2 linked regions of the Mus musculus genome follow. The protein of the gene in region 1 binds, or shares a complex with, the protein of each later gene. Links are inferred from orthologs where the notes say so. Each region holds a gene or a part of one and is shown in the gene's direction. Other genes may lie near its edges.

The links. The genes of interacting proteins can lie anywhere in the genome.
Region 2: the proteins of Fn1 (region 1) and Col1a1 are in contact, whole or in part, in a crystal structure (PDB 3GXE), measured with the Homo sapiens proteins. The link is inferred for Mus musculus from reciprocal best matches to the Homo sapiens genes FN1 and COL1A1. Residues at the interface, in NP_997647.2 of Homo sapiens: Asp516, Gln517, Lys533, His535, Glu537, His539, Leu541, Gly549, Arg550, Gly551, Arg552, Trp553, Lys554, Cys555, Pro557, Gln560, Phe569; in NP_000079.2 of Homo sapiens: Leu261, Pro262, Gly263, Met264, Lys265, Gly266, His267, Arg268.

The regions. Positions count from the first base shown.
Region 1 is NC_000067.6:71,643,235-71,646,734, reverse strand, and holds part of Fn1 (fibronectin isoform a precursor), read left to right. Parts: intron 1-1,032; coding exon 1,033-1,188; intron 1,189-3,500. UniProt on the Homo sapiens protein: Fibronectins bind cell surfaces and various compounds including collagen, fibrin, heparin, DNA, and actin. Fibronectins are involved in cell adhesion, cell motility, opsonization, wound healing, and maintenance of cell shape.
Region 2 is NC_000077.6:94,942,724-94,946,223, forward strand, and holds part of Col1a1 (collagen alpha-1(I) chain preproprotein), read left to right. Parts: intron 1-71; coding exon 72-179; intron 180-282; coding exon 283-336; intron 337-619; coding exon 620-718; intron 719-866; coding exon 867-920; intron 921-1,009; coding exon 1,010-1,108; intron 1,109-1,631; coding exon 1,632-1,685; intron 1,686-1,874; coding exon 1,875-1,928; intron 1,929-2,028; coding exon 2,029-2,082; intron 2,083-2,190; coding exon 2,191-2,244; intron 2,245-2,644; coding exon 2,645-2,689; intron 2,690-2,776; coding exon 2,777-2,875; intron 2,876-3,087; coding exon 3,088-3,195; intron 3,196-3,500. UniProt on the Homo sapiens protein: Type I collagen is a member of group I collagen (fibrillar forming collagen).

The DNA.
Region 1 (3,500 bases):
TTTTTGTGTGGCAAAGAATTTGAACTTGGGTGGTATTTTTAATTACTAGTTTAAGCTGGATAAACAAAACACATTCAAGATATCTAGATTTGACTTTTTTTTTTTTTGCATGCGTTTTAAAATTCATGCTTCAGCAAATTCCAAGGCTGTTGTTAGTTTGAAATTCTAAATGGAACTTTGAAGGCAGAAGCAGCAATTAAGACTTCAAGACAATCTTAGAAGCGGGAGGGAAGAAGGATGCCTGGGGCCAGCTTTTTACAAGGATAATAAGAGACAGCATCCTTAACTCCAGAAGAGACCTTTTAACCGTGGGATAAGCCATTTTGTCGTTGCTATTGGTTATTGTCACTGTTATTATTACAATTACTATTATACAGGGAGGATTCTCATAAGCCCAGGCTGGCCTAGAACTTACTGTGTTGCTGAGAGAGACCTTGGGCTCTTAACACTCCTGCTCCTACCTCCCAGACGCTGGGGTTAACCACGTGGGTGACTTTGTAATTGTAAAACAGGTGGTTTTGGGTGGGGCAAGAAAAGAGAACCTTCTAGCCAGAGAAGTTGTTTTTCCACAGGAATACTTTTACATAACAAGTGGAGAGATTGGTGTGGTTAACTTTTTAGCTTCCCTGGGGCAGTCGGAAGAGACCTGCCTCCTTATTGTTTATTGAAAGGAGGGCCATGGGCTGTAATTACAGAAAAAGGTCTGGAAGACACTGAGGAGTAAAGAGTAGATTGCCAGATAATTAATTGAGTCAAAGAACCAATGTAGAAAATCTTAATTTTTTTTAATCAATAAAAGACACTGAATAGTATTTTTTCTTTTTTTCCTTTGGCAAATGGAGAGGTAGGGCTGTACTGTAACGAACCGGGTATCTGAATTTTAATATATGCATCACCAGCACTGGGTAGGATGTACTAACACCAACAACAGCCACTCAGAAGCATTCAACTGCAGCATTCCCATCTTAGTGTGGATGGCTGCGTGTCGGTTACTAGATAACTTCTATATTCAATGCTTCTCTCCTGAAACAGACAGATGCAACGATCAGGACACCCGGACATCCTATAGGATTGGAGACACGTGGAGCAAGAAGGACAACCGAGGAAACCTGCTTCAGTGTGTCTGCACAGGCAATGGCAGAGGGGAGTGGAAGTGTGAGCGACATGCTCTACAAAGTGCTTCAGCCGGTGAGGCGCTGGGACCGGGGACAGCTCCACGCCAGGGTGATTTATAGCGTTTCAGCTAAGAAGCTGGAATCGTTCACATAACTGTTTAAAAATATTCATTCTATATTGTGAACAAAGTTGAGTGGAATGAAGTTGAGACGTGCCTTTAGCACAGAGGGCTGGGTTGGAAAGCATAGTGTACTCTGGTCATGGCTCTATTAGTATAGGCTTTGGCTTATGAGCATGAGACTCAGAGTTCAGTCTAGAACCAAAGTAAATATCCAAGTGTGATGGTGTTATCCCAGCACCAAGAAGGTGGAGGCAGGAGGATACCTGGGGATTACAGACCAGCCAGCTTACACTACTTTGGAAGTGTGGGGGTGGTTCCAGGTTAGTGAGATGGTGTGGCTGGCCAGCCCACTTTTCTTGGGGGAGTTGGGGGAAGTTGTGTTCTAGGTTTGTGAAAGATGGTGTCATAGAAAACAAGATGGCTCTGGGCATAATCCCTGCCTTCTACATGCACAAGCTCTCCACACGCATGCGCACATAGATAATGTGCATGCACCCTCCCTCACATGGACAAGCAATAGTGAGTGAATGTGTGGTATGTACTTGGAATCCTCAAGCCCTGGGTTCAGTTCCCAGCACCCTCCCAAAACACCCCAATAATTATTATATAAATTTAAAAGAATAACTAAAACAAAGAAAGGTATTTGTATGTATCTTGGATGCTTGGTCAGAGTCTGAGGAAGGGGTCGGAGCACTTGCCAACCATGCGCAAAGCCCTGGTTCTGGTTCCCCATCACTAAATAAAAGGAGGGTGTGTTGTGCCTGCGATTCCAGGGATCAGGAAGTAGAGGGACGGAGGATCAGAAGTCCAGAGTCAGCCTTGGCTACGTAGTGAGTTCTAGTCAAACCTGCTCAATGTGGCTCAGTGGGTAAGAGCACCCAACTGCTCTTCCGAAGGTCCAGAGTTCAAATCCCAGCAACCACATGGTGGCTCACAACCACCCGTAACGAGATCTGACGCCCTCTTCTGGTGTGTCTGAAGACAGCTATGGTGTACTTACATGTAATAAATAAATAAATCTTTAAAAAAAAATAAAAAAAAAAAAAGATGCTGTCTCTCATGCACACACACATCGGAAGAAGGAAGTGCAGCTCTTGTGGGTGGTACCTTCCCGCTATTGCGCTCTGGGTTTCCATCTAGCTTTTACTGTGTGATAGTCCAGCCTTGTTACTTAGCCTCTTAGCAGTCAGTCATTCAGGCAATAGTAATTAGATTTTTTTCCCCTTTTGACGAGTTTATCTGGACCTAATTAATCCTTGTGAAAGCAAACAAGGTTACATTTGATGATCTCTACATTATCCAATTATCATCGATAAAAACAGCTATTGGCCATAAGGCAGAGGAAGAACAGTTACGAATGTCAGTCGACTGAACTACATGAAGGATTAACTGAGCTAACTGGGATTAAACAATACGTGTTAACTATTTTTATGGCATCACTAATATACCGAGGTGTTTCACTATTAAAGGGTTTGAGAAACACTGTTAAACGAAACAACCTCTTCTAGGAGGGCCTTGCCGTCCTTCTGTATGGTGGGCCTTGACACCATTGGCGTCCTCTGTCTGAGTTCTCTTTGGGTATTTGTGCTCGTCAGCGCTGGGGGAAGAGGCTAGATTCATTCTAGAAGCTCTTCCGCTGCCATACGGACTCTGACCTTCAAAAGCCAGATTTCTAAAAGAGAAGCTAGCACAATCTGTTGTGTTAACTATCCGAGGAAACTTGTGAGGATTGGTTGCTTCTAGGAAAACAAACAGACATCCTAAGGAATTCTGCTGAGCACCGACACCCAGGAAGAGGGATAACTTAGGAAATCCGTAGCTCTCCAGGGTGTCCTCCTGAGAGCCAAGTTTTAGAGAAGGCAGGATATCCCCTGTGGGTCTTCAGGGGTCTCTCAGGAAGAGGAAAGGCCACACACAGAGCATATGAGAGCTATGAGGGAAGACAGGCAAGGCAGACCATTTCAGATGAGTGGGGAGCCATAGGGAGAAGGCAGGAGCATGGTACCCAGGAATGATGAGCAGCTCAGTGGGTTGAAGCTTAGAACAGGGCAGGGAAGGCTAGCAGCCAGGCGGGAGGGGAGAGTGGTAGAGGGGTGTGGAGCTCACAGATGGATCGCTTCCTAGCGTGACTGAAGGTTTGTGAAAGATAACCTGTTGTGTTGTGCGGCAGGATAATGTTGTCGCTTAGATGTGCTGTTCAGGTGTGGCTCCGATGAGGATTATATGAGGAGTCTTGTGAACCACTTCTTGGGCTGAGTGCGGA
Region 2 (3,500 bases), on another chromosome or scaffold:
TAGAGGCCAGCATCATAGGCTCCTGGGCTTGTACTCCCTCACCAAGGCTACTCCCTCTCTGCCCACTCCAGGGTGCTACTGGAGTTCAAGGTCCCCCAGGCCCTGCCGGAGAAGAAGGAAAACGAGGAGCCCGTGGTGAGCCTGGACCTTCCGGACTGCCTGGACCTCCTGGCGAGCGTGTAAGTGTCCCCTGTCCCCTGTGTCTCTCCTCATTTGCTCTTAGTGCTTGCCCAGTGCTGTGATGGTAATAGGCTCACTGGCCTTTTTTCCTTCTCCCTGCAGGGTGGACCTGGTAGCCGTGGTTTCCCTGGTGCTGATGGTGTTGCTGGCCCCAAGGTAATCTCTCTTCCTGGCAGAGAAGCTGACTCCCCCAGCTGCCCGACGTCACTTCCCTGACAGTACGGTTGACATCCACCTACGCTCATGTCCGCAGCTGTGCTCCCTGCCGCCTTGCAACCACGGCTGTGTCTCCCTCCTCCTCTTGTTTGGCCTCTCTTTGGCATCCCCACGAATCCACCTCAAAGTCCAAGACCTTCTCCCAGCATGAAGAGGATGCTAAACCCGTGGTAATAAGGCCAAGGCTGTGGCCCTGATGCGTCTGTGACTTCTCTCCACTTAGGGTCCTTCCGGTGAACGTGGTGCTCCCGGACCTGCTGGTCCCAAAGGTTCTCCTGGTGAAGCTGGTCGCCCCGGTGAAGCTGGTCTCCCTGGTGCCAAGGTGAGAAGATCCTCTGTCCTGTATGGGACTTGGAGCAGCCTGCAGCTGGTGCTCCAGACTCCTCCCCCCCTCCCACACTCCGATCCCCCTCCTCCCCTTGTCATCCCCCTCCTCCTGCCCTCGTTCATGGCCTTCTGCTTCACCCTAGGGTCTCACTGGCAGTCCTGGCAGCCCTGGTCCTGATGGCAAAACCGGCCCCCCTGTAAGTATGCCTGTTCTCTCATGCCTCACCCTACCCTCCTGTGTGCCTACCTTAGTCCTTACCACAACTCTTGTGCCTCCCATCCTCAGGGTCCCGCTGGTCAAGATGGTCGCCCTGGACCCGCAGGTCCTCCTGGAGCCCGTGGCCAGGCTGGTGTGATGGGATTCCCTGGACCTAAGGGTACCGCTGTGAGTATTCAGTGAGGAACACTACAGAACCAGCAACAGGCATACTAACTCGACTGACACTCTGTGTGACCTCAGGCCCTTTACTGACCCTTTCTGGACCCATTAGTGAAATAAGAGACCATTGGTTGGCTCCATGACCATCATTCTGTCCTTGATAAATAAGTATTGCTAGGCAGACTCCCCTGAACACACAGATAATATGGTCTTTTTATGTGATAGTCACACCCAAGTCTGGTAAGGAGAGCCTTGAGATGACTGCCATTAGTCAGTGAAGGTGTGTGTCAAGGGGAAGGGAAGGGGAAGGGTGACCAGGAAGGAGTCTCGGGCAGGAGACTGCTTTGGGTGCAGGAAGAGAGGCTGAGCATTAGATGCCGGCAAGACCTTCCCTAGACCCTGAAGCTTGCCAGCCTCCTGCAGTCTTCTTGAACAGAAAGCCCCTTGGGAATGCTCACTGTAATGAGAGGTCCTTGGCTGTAACGAGTCTCGACCTGTGACCCTCAATCTTGCTTCCCTTTCTACACAGGGAGAACCTGGAAAGGCTGGAGAGCGAGGCCTTCCCGGACCCCCTGGCGCTGTTGTAAGTATCTCTTTGGAGTCTCTGACCTTTCTGCCCCTGCCTGTGACATACACCATCCTCCCATGGAGGATGTCTGCAGCCACTGTCACAACATCGGAAGTCACTAGGGGGCTCTGCTGTGTCTCAGAGGTCCAGTCCCTACCTGCGGCTCTCATCTCCCATACTGAATTTATTGCCTTCTCCCCACAGGGTCCTGCTGGCAAAGATGGAGAAGCTGGAGCTCAGGGAGCCCCTGGCCCTGCTGTAAGTATTCCTGTCTGCGAGCCTTGGGGAGCAGGAAAGGTGGGGCCTTGCTTCCCTTCCCCTTGGACTATTCATGACCACTGCCTCTTCTCTACCACAGGGTCCTGCTGGTGAGAGAGGTGAACAAGGTCCCGCTGGCTCCCCTGGATTCCAGGTGAGGCTTCATGACTTAGGTTTGCAGGGAAGAGTGCAGAACACTCCTTTGTTAACTGTTAAAGATTCTAAATCCTACCTCTTCTCCCCTCCACCTCCCACCTTACAGGGTCTTCCTGGTCCTGCCGGTCCTCCTGGTGAAGCAGGCAAGCCTGGTGAACAGGTAAGAGGTAGCAGCAGGACAGAAGGTGGGAGCATGCAAGAAATACAAAGAAAACAGCCACCCACTGCTTGCAGCTGATGGGGGTGGGAATCACCAGCTAGAGGGATAGGGATTAAACGCAAAGGGAGGACTTTGGATATACCAAATGTGTGAGGGCACTCACTGCAAATGATCTGGCACTGGCTTGGTAGCCTCTAGGCAAGGTGACTTCTCTATACACACTCCTGGAATAACTCTGGCTTTACCTCAAGCCTTCCTATTGTAATGAGGAATTTCAGTTCTAAGCTGAGTATGTGGTCCTGTGGGCTCCTGAGGTCCAGCTTCTAGGAAGAGGGGGCAGAGGTTCTTTCTCGGGGTGGGGGTAGGTTGGATTCACTGCAGTTCCTCTTTCTACACTCAGGGTGTTCCTGGAGACCTTGGTGCCCCTGGACCCTCTGGCGCAAGAGTAAGTGAGCCTTCTCGTGCCACTTCCGTTACGACATCCCAAGCTTGGTCCTGTCAGAGCATCATGTGCCCTTTCCTTCCTTTCTAGGGCGAGAGAGGTTTCCCTGGTGAACGTGGTGTACAAGGTCCCCCAGGTCCTGCTGGTCCCCGAGGAAACAATGGTGCCCCCGGCAACGATGGTGCCAAGGTGAGGGCATCGTGGAAAGGTCATGACGGTTGTGTCCCAGATCATAGGACTTGGGGACAAGACCAGAGTGGGGGCCCAGGAGTCACAAGGTCGGGTCTGTGAGTTTGTCCCTCTGGTTGGAACCTGTGATCTGGGATCCACACATAAGGGATCCTAAGTGGGCTCATGGCTCTGAGACACCTCTGGGCTCACTAATCTTGTTTCCTAAACAGGGTGATACTGGTGCCCCCGGAGCTCCCGGTAGCCAGGGTGCCCCCGGTCTTCAGGGAATGCCTGGTGAACGTGGTGCAGCTGGTCTTCCAGGTCCTAAGGGTGACAGAGTAAGTCAACCTTCCCTTCCCATGAGCCCTTGTGGTTCTCATTTATCTTCATGCTTTCCTGGTTAATCTAATACCTGTGACTCAGGCCCTTCTGATGTGTTACCATGGGGATGAAAGTTGGGGCATCTCCCTGATGGAGGTTGCTTTATTTACCACTCTGTAGAATTCAGGGGCCTCTTAACCCAGGTTCCACCTGAATCCCCAAGTAGGCCCCTTTAACCCCTGAAAGAACTTTACATCCTTGACAGAGCTAAGGAGGGCCTCTTAGATATAGCTGCAGAATGCTGTAGCTCAACTCTTGGCCC